Linked DNA regions of Oryzias latipes. The protein of the gene in region 3 purifies or fractionates together with the protein of the main gene of each other region. This does not show direct contact. Links are inferred from orthologs where the notes say so. Each region holds a gene or a part of one and is shown on either strand. Other genes may lie near its edges.

What was found.
Region 1: the proteins of ift122 (region 3) and wdr19 purify together in Homo sapiens (affinity purification with mass spectrometry; 4 studies listed by BioGRID and IntAct, counting the BioPlex papers as one, with this or other methods). This does not show direct contact. The link is inferred for Oryzias latipes from reciprocal best matches to the Homo sapiens genes IFT122 and WDR19.
Region 2: the proteins of ift122 (region 3) and ift140 purify together in Homo sapiens (affinity purification with mass spectrometry; 4 studies listed by BioGRID and IntAct, counting the BioPlex papers as one, with this or other methods). This does not show direct contact. The link is inferred for Oryzias latipes from reciprocal best matches to the Homo sapiens genes IFT122 and IFT140.

The regions. Positions count from the first base shown.
Region 1 is NC_019859.2:13,014,160-13,017,200, reverse strand, and holds the end of wdr19 (WD repeat-containing protein 19), read right to left. Parts: coding exon 2,920-3,041; intron 2,196-2,919; coding exon 2,114-2,195; intron 2,041-2,113; coding exon 1,890-2,040; intron 1,783-1,889; coding exon 1,659-1,782; intron 1,583-1,658; coding exon 1,506-1,582; intron 797-1,505; coding exon 682-796; 3' UTR 589-681; downstream 1-588. Other genes in the region: rfc1 (replication factor C subunit 1), read left to right, coding at 14-112. UniProt on the Homo sapiens protein: As component of the IFT complex A (IFT-A), a complex required for retrograde ciliary transport and entry into cilia of G protein-coupled receptors (GPCRs), it is involved in cilia function and/or assembly.
Region 2 is NC_019877.2:9,013,075-9,016,730, forward strand, and holds part of ift140 (intraflagellar transport protein 140 homolog), read right to left. Parts: intron 3,611-3,656; coding exon 3,519-3,610; intron 3,433-3,518; coding exon 3,326-3,432; intron 3,203-3,325; coding exon 3,072-3,202; intron 2,962-3,071; coding exon 2,758-2,961; intron 2,680-2,757; coding exon 2,607-2,679; intron 2,483-2,606; coding exon 2,391-2,482; intron 2,285-2,390; coding exon 2,157-2,284; intron 2,065-2,156; coding exon 1,947-2,064; intron 1,858-1,946; coding exon 1,736-1,857; intron 1,645-1,735; coding exon 1,503-1,644; intron 438-1,502; coding exon 306-437; intron 1-305. UniProt on the Homo sapiens protein: Component of the IFT complex A (IFT-A), a complex required for retrograde ciliary transport and entry into cilia of G protein-coupled receptors (GPCRs).
Region 3 is NC_019865.2:17,185,312-17,188,967, forward strand, and holds part of ift122 (intraflagellar transport protein 122 homolog), read right to left. Parts: intron 2,657-3,656; coding exon 2,465-2,656; intron 2,105-2,464; coding exon 1,966-2,104; intron 1,684-1,965; coding exon 1,481-1,683; intron 743-1,480; coding exon 605-742; intron 360-604; coding exon 195-359; intron 1-194. UniProt on the Homo sapiens protein: As a component of the IFT complex A (IFT-A), a complex required for retrograde ciliary transport and entry into cilia of G protein-coupled receptors (GPCRs), it is required in ciliogenesis and ciliary protein trafficking.

The DNA.
Region 1 (3,041 bases), on a different chromosome or scaffold from region 3:
TCCTGTCATGCAGCAGAAGAAGACCAAAACCACTAAAGAGTCCAAAACCCAGAAGGAAGATTCTGGAAAAGGCAAAGGCAAGGGCAAAGGAAAAGGAAAGGCTAAGAAATGACCCTTTGTAGGAGAGTGAACTCCTCTGATCCTCCTTCATGGACAATTGTTCCTCTGCACCTTTAATAAAAACCACAAAGAACAAAACTGACCCTAAACTCAGCAGCTATTCAGAACAATGACTTCAGAAGCATTTTTCACCATTTCTTTTTTTTAATTTTAAACCTGAGACGTCTCTATAATAAGTAGGCGATCCGCTCATCATCATGTCTGCGCAGCTGCAGTTATCTGTCCTATCAGGAGCCTTTCTGCTGTCGTTCCGTTTGCATTCCTGCTGTCTGCATGTAAATAATGAAGACTGTTCACTTTCACTCCAAACATGTCTGACCTTTGTAGAAGCAACAGTTACCTGTAAATTAAAATTTTTTTGTAAGAATAACTTTCTGCACATTAATGATGGTTTGTGTTTTTATTGCTTCAAAATAGTTTTACAGAACAATGGACCATTCCTATTTGAAATAAAGAGGGGCAGCTGTGAAATTTTGAAATGCGATTTATTACAATTTGAGTACATGTATAAAATATAGCATTTGAGAAGTCCTACAGCTGAGACGCACTGATCCTGTCTTGTCATGGATCCAGCTCGTTGGTCTGCAGGTATTTGGAACAATCCGGGATCTTCTTCAGCTCCTTCGCACTCAGGTTTTCAAAACACATGGGACAGGCTGTCTCTGTTTCCAGGAACCTGCAGCACAGTCCGTGGCAGAAAATGAGACGAGCGCGGTTAAAAGGAGGAGAACAGGGTTTCCAAAAAATGGTCCTCATTTAGCAGGTCAGAGGTAATCTGATTCCTGACAGATTACATCATTTTTTGTTTTGCTTATGCTAAATGAAAATATCAAAGCTAAGATTTGTGCAGATGCTTTGAATAAAATGTTAAAGACCCACTCTGATAAAAATGCTATTTTTACTGTTTTTAACTTGCTTTTGTAGCGTTTTTCTGATGATGGAGGAGATATTTAAAAATAATAATTGAGGTAGTATTTCTGAATACTTGTATATTCAAAGCATTGTGAATCAGGAGCAGACAAAAAATGCAGTTTGAAAAAAAGCCTTTTGGTGATGTAGAAAATATGCTGGGCAGGCCACAAGCTCCCCACTCAGAGAGCTCAGCATTGGGAAGAGGAGCGGGGTTGCTCCCTACCAGCCGTCCCGCCCACAACTCAGGTGAATTTTCAAATGTGCCCCTGCCGCTCTGCGGAAACTACGTCCGGCAAAACGATGTAGGATTTTTTTATTTTGGCTAAAAACGGCACAAGTATAATTAAAAGAGCACTGGGATTTTTATAAATAGATGGAAAGACGATCAGTTACACTCACCAACAACCTTCATGGCGACTTTGTTTTTACTCACAACTGGAGGAAATAAAACATTGTTTTCAAGTGGTACTTACAGAATAAACTGTGAGTAGAGTGCAGGAAAGTCACAGTGCGGACAAGTAGACCAGTCTTCTTTTATTAAATGACGACCCTGAAGGGAATTTATTTATTTATTTAATAAGAACTGTCTTAAAGCAGCAAAAGCAAGTGGCATGGGGCATTTGTACCGTGGCGATGCAGTAGGGGATGTTGTTCTTGCAGGCGATGCACAGAAGCTCATTTTCTGGCAGCTGGAATCCGCAGTAAGGACACGGAGTGGTTTCTTCATCCAGCTCGGACATCTGTGGATGTCTGCAGATGAGACGGGCAGGACAGCCAGTAAATAAGTGTGAGGAACATCACATGGAGGACGAGGTACCAACATCACACTTTTACACCGTAATCACTCGGCTGCTCACCGAACCAGGGATTCAAACTTCTTCCTGAACTTCGGGTCCACATCGTTTCTGTAGTCTGGTCTCATCAGCATGGAAGCAAAGCTGAAGGCGGATTTCTTTAGACCGGCACGCTGGCATTCGATTACCGCTGACGTTAGAATTGGAACAACGTCTACACAAACAGACCAGAGCATCAGCTAAACAGCAGCCTCTAGATTTGTCAGTGACTTTTTTATCTGACTTACGTGCTGGAAACTTGCTAATGTTGTTGCTGACACGGATGAGCATGCGCGCCGCCTTCAGGTGATCTCCTCTCTTTGTATAGATCTGTAGAAAAACACATTATAACTGCAGCTAAAACACAGGGGTTGCAGCTCAGAATCAGCTGCTATCTTGTTAGTTGCATTAATTCCAGTAAAGATGGAGTCTAACCAGATCTTAATGAAGCTTTTGCTTTAGTTTATGCATTTCCGACAGTAAGAGAGGTTAACTCTTTTACATCAAAAGAACATCATCACAGTTTGGTAGCTGCTCCAAAGAAATTGACTCTTTTTCTGGTTTGTGCTGATTTGATTCCTCATAAACAAGTAAACAAATTTTATTCTGATGTCTCTCCATTTTAAGCAACACTGGGTCCCAAAAGAAAAATGACTCATTCCATGTAGGAATAGAATAGGACTGCCTATCTGCCAATTCAACTGAATCCTTTGATTCAAGTGTTTCTGATTGAATTTACTATTTGAGACGCTTTGATTAAAGTTGTTCAAATTTCCATCAAAATCTATTTTTTTCTGTACAAAATTTTTTTTAACTAGTGAAATAAAGTCAACATAAGTTGAAGGTGAACTAAAAGAATAGGAATTCCAACAAAAAGCTACAGAAAGTCTGTGTTTTATAAAATTCATTCATCTTCTAAACCTGTTTTGTCCCTTTTGGGGGTCACAGGAAGAAAATAAAATAATGATTTCATTTGATGGATCAGACTTCTAAGTGTGTAAGTAACTGCCCCCCCCCCCCCCCCCCCAAAAGAACAGAAACCCATACCCCTTACCCTGGCCAGCAGGTAGGAGTGCAGGATCATCAGATTGGTGGCCATTTCTGCAGGGATTTTGATCTTGTGAGCTTGCAGCTCGGTGTACATGCTGAACAGCACGTTGTGAGCATTAAGGTAGC
Region 2 (3,656 bases), on a different chromosome or scaffold from region 3:
AGGTCCAAACAAAGCATGGATGCATTTGTGATCATCTTTAAAGTTTCCTTTTTTAAATAAATGCATCACAAGGTGTACACAGTTGAAGGGGCTGGAAGCTGGGAGGCAACATTAAAGCTTTTTTGAACATTTTTTCAGGGAAAAGACTTACATCCGGTCGAAAGACACCACCTTTCCGAAATAACAGCTAGGGTGTGTTGGGCCAAACATACAATTTCACATAAAAAACAATGGTGGGCGTCAACAAAATCCCAACAAACATGTCAACATAAAAATGAGCGGAGCAGATCTATCTCTGTCCTCACCTTACAGCTGTAATAATAATAAGGCACATCCAGAGCGAGGAGGGCCTGCAGGCCTAAAGGTTTCAGGTAGTAATCGTGGAGAAGGAGTCCATCCTCCTGAGTACAAAACAGTGTCACAACGGACACATCCGCCTGAGAGAAGAGAAGATGTTTAGGTGTCATATGTTCCTAAACTGAAGTGGTCCTAATAAAAAACTGAACACTCTTGGAGAGTAAATAAATACAATTTCATAGAGAATAGATTCTTTAAAAGCCTCTAAAAGCAATCATGTAGTAAAATGTTTCGTGATTGAACATTAATCTATGCTATTGAGAGAAATGTTTATGTTTTGCATCTACCAAACAGTGAGGTAAATAATAGGGTATTAAACCCTATTACATAGATAATAGGTATAAAAACGCAAATAATTTTAAAAAAATGTATTATAATAGATGCACACATTTTATTTATTTTAGTAAAAAACCTTTTATTTACTTTGTTTTGTTTGGAGTTTTCACTTCAAGTGACTACCATTGACACATTTTGAAGAAGATTGGGATGTACCAAAGCAGGGAAGTCAAGTCTTTTATTATGGACACTATAAAGTGTGTTTTACAGTCTTGAGACCCGCGGTCTTGTCTGATTTTTCATTCCACAGTCCCATATGATGTCTTCATATGTGGATGCCAGGTCTCAAGAGGTTTCATTAATTTAGCTGATTTATGTTGGAGATTTAAATTATGCAGTATATTTTATTAATTAATTATTAATGATCAATTATACTTTTATTTTATTAATTGTCCTTTATAATTTTTTGTTATTGATGAATTGGTTTAACCCCTCCTTGTGTGTTGTATGTAGGCTACTTGTCTGCAGCTATAAACCTTCCCCAGTGTGTTAACCAGGAAGTGGACTTTTGGGGTATTCATTTTGTTTCTTTCTCTTTTTTTTTAGGCCCTAATGATTTTTTATGAACAAAGAATCTCTGTTTATTATTATTTGTATTATTATTATATTTTTTAAACAGGGAGAAAAAAGAATAAAAGGAACAAACAGCCTCCAAGCAAAACAACCTGACTGCTGCTGACTGATTGTGGACCTTCACATTACTTTTTAATAAATTTTACCTTTTGCTTGTGTAAATTTAGTCGCAATATTTTGATCATTTTTATTATTGTTTAGTAGCAAAGATCTGCACCTGACTAACTTATTCTTACCATATCCAAGAAAGATTCTGATGAAGTTTCCGAGCTGACTGGCACCGTCTCGCACGCAAAAAGACGAGGCTCGCTCTCATCCCAGAAGTGAGACACGGGGTAGCGACCACTTACTTCACTGTGAGAAGACTCCTGTCTGGGACTAAATAATACAAACACGAAGATATTTGTAAATAAAATAATCTAAAAAAAAAAAAAACTATGAATTTAAAAAAAGAAGTCCATTAATATACTTTTCACTTTCTTCTGGTTGGGAGATACTGCTGGAATGTCTGCCAGTAAAGAAGTCAAAGTGTGTCAAAGTGTCCATCTCGATGTCATAAAAGTACACCTTGTGGTCCAGTCGTCCATTAACCTGTAAAAAAGGTGTTACAATCCTCAGAGAAAAGCACCAGATATTTTTTCCTCTTAAATTTAAGTGGAAAAGGGAATGTTCTCGTAAACCTGAGAGATTAAGATGCTGATGTAGGAGCCACTGGAGTTACACTTGACGGACCTCAAGGCTCCCAGATTAGCAATGTGGTCTGCCAAATTCTTAGTCTTGCAATTAGCTTTGGCATCTCTACAACATACAAATGAAATGTCAGTCAAGACATCGATGCAGGTGAAGTGCTTTTGTTTCTAAAAGGAATTTTGGAGGCAAGATACTTGTACCTTCTGGAAAGGTCAAAAACTTGGATGTGTGCCGTGTCTGTACCCACCACCAGGTAAGACTGGCACACGTTGAGTAGCATGGGGTTCCCTTCTGCCTTCGAGAAATATAAATGCTGTTTTACCGTGCCCTGAAGGAAACAGAGTAAATATGTTCAAACAAGTTTTGAGCTACATCAATTCTAAATCATTGTTCATTCACTATTAGGCAACCGTTTTGAAGTGGTGCACTCAGACCTGTAGTGTTCGGATTTGCAACTTGTTTGGTTCTACTGTGTAGAGGTTCTCGTCATGCACGGCTACCACATGGGAATCGCAAAGAAAGGATCCTGGGAAATTACGAAGAGAGAGTAGAAAGGGGAGAATGGGTGAGGCAGACACATAGAAACAGAACAGTGCACTGTTGTACATGCCGATAGGAACGCTCATTAGTTGCTTTGGTTTGTACTCTACCTGTGTTGTGCAAAGCTGTCCCAGAAAGCTCGTACACATTAATCAATTTGCCATTCCAGACTATTACAGAGTCCTGCAGGTGAGACAAAGAAGTGATGATAGAATCAGCTTTGTCTGCAATACAGTTGAAGCCTGACATCTTTGCTCTTACCTTGGTGACACAAACTCCTTTGATGTGCATGTCAGACTGGAGAGCAAGGTGCACCCCTGTGGTAAAGTTAGAGATGCTGAGCTGTGTTGGGCTGAGCTGCACTGCTGCCACCTGCTGACTGAAGTGGGCAGACATCAAATGCTCGCAGAGGATTAGCACCGTCTTTGAATTGTTTGCAGCCAACAGATTCAAGCTGCAGCCCCACTGCAAATTTAAAGGACTGGTTAAACTTTTGGAATGTTGCCCATGCTACATCCCTGTTTATTATTCCATGTCAGATGAGTGTGTTGCTAAAAAGTTTGTTTGGACACTACCTGAAGTTGTGTAACGTTTCCCTCTATTTCAGTGGGTGTCTGTAATTTCCACTGAGTCTTGGTGTCTGATCTGCTGCTGAACTTCTTCCACATTGCTATGCGTCCATTGGAGGTACCAGCAGCAAGAATTTCTAGGATTCAAAAATATGAACACAAAACCTCAATCAACTCAGGTTCTAAGTACCTTTCAAAGAAAAATTATTAAGCAATAATTTATAGAATTAGTGTGTATGTAACAAATATTAATGGGTTACCTTTTGCTGAACAGTATGACACACAATTGATCAGCTCGCCTCTATCAAATCCCAATGTCTCATCGAGAGACAAAATGTAGTTGTCATCTCTATCCAAGTCCCATAGCCTAAAAAAAATGAAAAGAAGCTAAATTAAATGATTACTTAAGCCAAAACAAAGTATGGAGGTAAACATAGCACGTGAAAAACCAACCTGATCATGTGTTCCCCTGTTGCTGTAATGAGGAGGTTGTTTTCTGTCCACACAATATCGACATTCTGCCCAGACTTGCTACTCAGCTTAACCTGCCATGAAAAGTACAGTAATAAGCACAACATCTATTCTAGGCTA
Region 3 (3,656 bases):
GAAAGCACACAAATAAACAATAGGAAGGTGTTTGCAAAACAAAAAACTAACATGAAATCCATTCTAACATTTGAGAATTGTAAAAAAATGATGCAAAATATGTGAATTTTTTGGTTTCACTCAGTTCATCTACACATTTCTTTGCATGCTCAAGTTGTTCTCCTCCCCCATCATTATATCTACAGCTTCCAAACCTGAAAGAGGAGCTCTTTACTGTTGATGTCATACACTAGAAGAGTGTTGTGCTCGTCAACCACGGCCAGTTTCTTGCGGTAGGCACTCATATCCAAACAGCGCACGGAAGTTGACAGCTTCAGCAGTGTGATGGGAAATGGATTGTCAACAAATATCTTCAGGATCTAGAAGAAAAAAAAACACACTATAGCATGGTTTCATGCAAAACTTGTGTGTGATGTGCGGCCGTGGTGCAGCGGTATGGCGGTCGACTCATGATCGTAACATTGCAGGTTCAATTCCCGCCTGGGCAAGACACTGAACCCCACCTTGCCTCTGGTGGGAGGTTGGCGCCAGTGTTTGGCAGCGGCGCCGCCATCAGTGTGTGAATTAGCATTTACCAAAATAACTCCCATTTGGCAATACTTACAGCCCCGTTCTTTAATCCCACAAGCAAGCCCTCCCTGCCTGGTGGACCCCCAATCACTTTAATGTAGCGAATTAGAGACTCCATCACCCATTCTTTTTCCTTGACGCTGGTGAAGGAAAGACACTGGAGTCTCTTCTCCTGCAAATACAACACTGGCTGGTCAAACATGCTCATATTCTATGTTGTTTTTTCATTAAATTATCTGTTTAAAGTTTTTATTATACACAAAAGGTTAAAAAAACATTCAGACGTATTGTTCTTTTACAGGCTGCATATGGTGGAACAATCTCAGAGAGCAGAGCCATAAACAATAATCTGATCTACTGAAAGCATTAACAGCCTGTGTGAGCACAGCCACTATATAATGTCTACAAACTGTCTGAGAGATGAAACATGAGCGGCTCCAGCAGAGACCTGAAGCACCTCTGTCACCGACAAAAGCTGCCGCTCCTTGCTGACAGCCTCTGTCAGCCACTTAACACCAAGAAGAACCCTAAAAAGTATCCATTTTTGGCTCCTCCCTCTTATTGAAACGGTCTTACTCTCTGTGGTAAGAAGAGACACGAGAAAGTGGACCATCTGGGCACACAGCGATCGAATCGCAGTGTCGCTGGGTATTTAATGACTAAAACTGATTTGCTCTGCATTCATCTGATGGTGCAGCAGTATCAGACTTCTGCACAATAAAATGTCAATCAGATTAATTTACCTGTCTCACCAAGTAACATGATTCAAGAACTATAATTGAGAAGCCTTACCATTTCAAAATAAAATATACTGAAAAATAAAAACACAAGCTCTAATAACGACAAAAACAGGTTCTTACTTTACTTTTTGACTGAATACAAAATAAAAATAATACAGGCCACTTCTGACCTGACACAGAATGATGTGCTGGGAGCACACAACCAGCAAGTTGCACTCAAACTTCTGACAAATTTTCTCCTTGCTGTGGTAGTGCATGTCAGAGGAGTCATCGGAGCGGAGCTCATAGATGAGGATCCTCTCAGGTAGCTGGATGGCAAGGCGACTTCTGTAGATGGCGATCTTCTTCACCAACTCACGACATCGAATTCTCACTAATCAAAAAATAAAATGCACGTTATACATCAACGGGAAAGCAGGAGGTTTGACTGTATAAACTAGTATTGTTCACCCAAATAAAAAACTTCCTTATTTTGGGGGAAGTTCAAATCATGTTTTTTTTTTTATGATTGGATGCTTCATAAGATTTTGATGCAAGTTTTTTTTTCCAAAACTGTAATTTAGATGTTTTTCAGTTTTTTTGATGAGATCATGTCACTGTGAAATTATACTAACACAGGTATATGGCAAAGACTCCTAATCTCAAAAAAACACACCCTTTTGCTCTGTGATCAGGTGCTGGACGATGACGTCAGTCATACTGTCCCTATAAGCGTAGCGATCCTTGTAGAGGCCGTGAACTGTACTGAAAGTAAGTTGATAGCAAGCAATGGTCCCATCCTGGCAGCCCAGCACCTAGATAAAAAGACAACAATGTAGCGGTACATCTTATTAACACCTCTAAGAAAAGACTGAGGGAGTGAGAAAATGTTCCTGTTGTCAGAGGATGTACACAGCAGAGGTAAAAAAGAAAAATAAATCTGCTAGAATCCAATTCTAGCTTGCATGTCTCATCATTGTCAGTGAGAAGAAAAGCAGCTGAAGTGTTAATATGGAAAGAAAAGTACTTGAGCACGAAAGGGATGCTGTGTTGTCACATCAGAAAAAAGGCTGCATTTTTCTGTGTAGCATTTCACTGATGTCTCTTTTCTCACTATAATATGAGGGGGTGAAAGGGCTTTTACAAGCATATGGTTTCACAAGCTGTGAACCTACCACACAGTTGGACTCGGGCTTAACTCGGCATGTCCACACCCAGGAATTCTGTTCTCCAATGGTTCCCAATCGCATTCCGTCTTTGGTGTAGAGCGACACCTGCTTATCCGAGCCGCCCATCACGATGTACTCCCCCTTGGAGAAGTAGCTGACACAACACGGGTCATAATTCAAAGTCCTGTCTGCTCCGATCTAAGGACGACAAAGAGAACATCAGACTCAAAAAAAAAAACTTTATTGCTCAGAGACTTCAGACAACACCTAATAATTTCCGAGTACACAAACTTCAAAGTGTTCATTACATTCCCGCATCCCTTTGAGCCGGATAGAAAAAAAAAGACTTTTTTAGTTTAAATAGTCTCTATTGTATGAGAGTTCAAAGTCCTTTTGATCAGCATCAAATTAAGTCACTCAGTTGTCTGGTTTTCTTCACTAGGAAAAAAAAGAAGCTTCCACAATAATTCCTGCATGTTTTCTGTCACTCTAAACAATGTCTGCTGTTGTTTCTTTCAGAAATTTCATTTAAATCAATAATACTGACTACAAAACATGAGTCTGAGACATAAAAATGAAATAATGAGTAAGGGGAGGCGGTGCATTAAAGGCAAAGCAGTATCACTTACTGTTGTAGTGTAAACAGTAGTGTGTAGAGTAATTGTAGGCCAATTATGACCATAAACACAGTCCCTAGCTCAATTAAGTTTCCAAAAATATACATTTCAAAAAACTCTCTTATAAGCCACATCCGCTCTATTAAATAAATCAAAAAAAAAAGATATACTGCAGATATCTATGTTGAAGAATTAGATATTTGCTGCATGTGCAGGATGATATTGTACTGAAATGTACATGTATGTACCTGAACAGTTTCTTTCCGAACAGGGCCTTTTAACACTGCAGCAACTTTGCTGATTAAAACTGAACAGAACCAAGAGAAAACAACCAGTATTTATTTACCTTAATTTCTCCTGTGTTTAAAACAACAAGTGACTCTAGTTACCAGTTAGTGATTTGTCGTGCGTGTTCTTTCTGCTAAAGAAAAAGTAGTGTAGTCTATTCTTTTTTGCCAATCTTAATTTTGATTCTAATTCCAGTTAGAGCACCTCTAGCGGTGAAAGAACCATGCGGCACCTTCGTATAAGCCGCATGGTTCAAAACCTAGGAAAGAAGTAGCAGTTTATAGTCCAGAAGA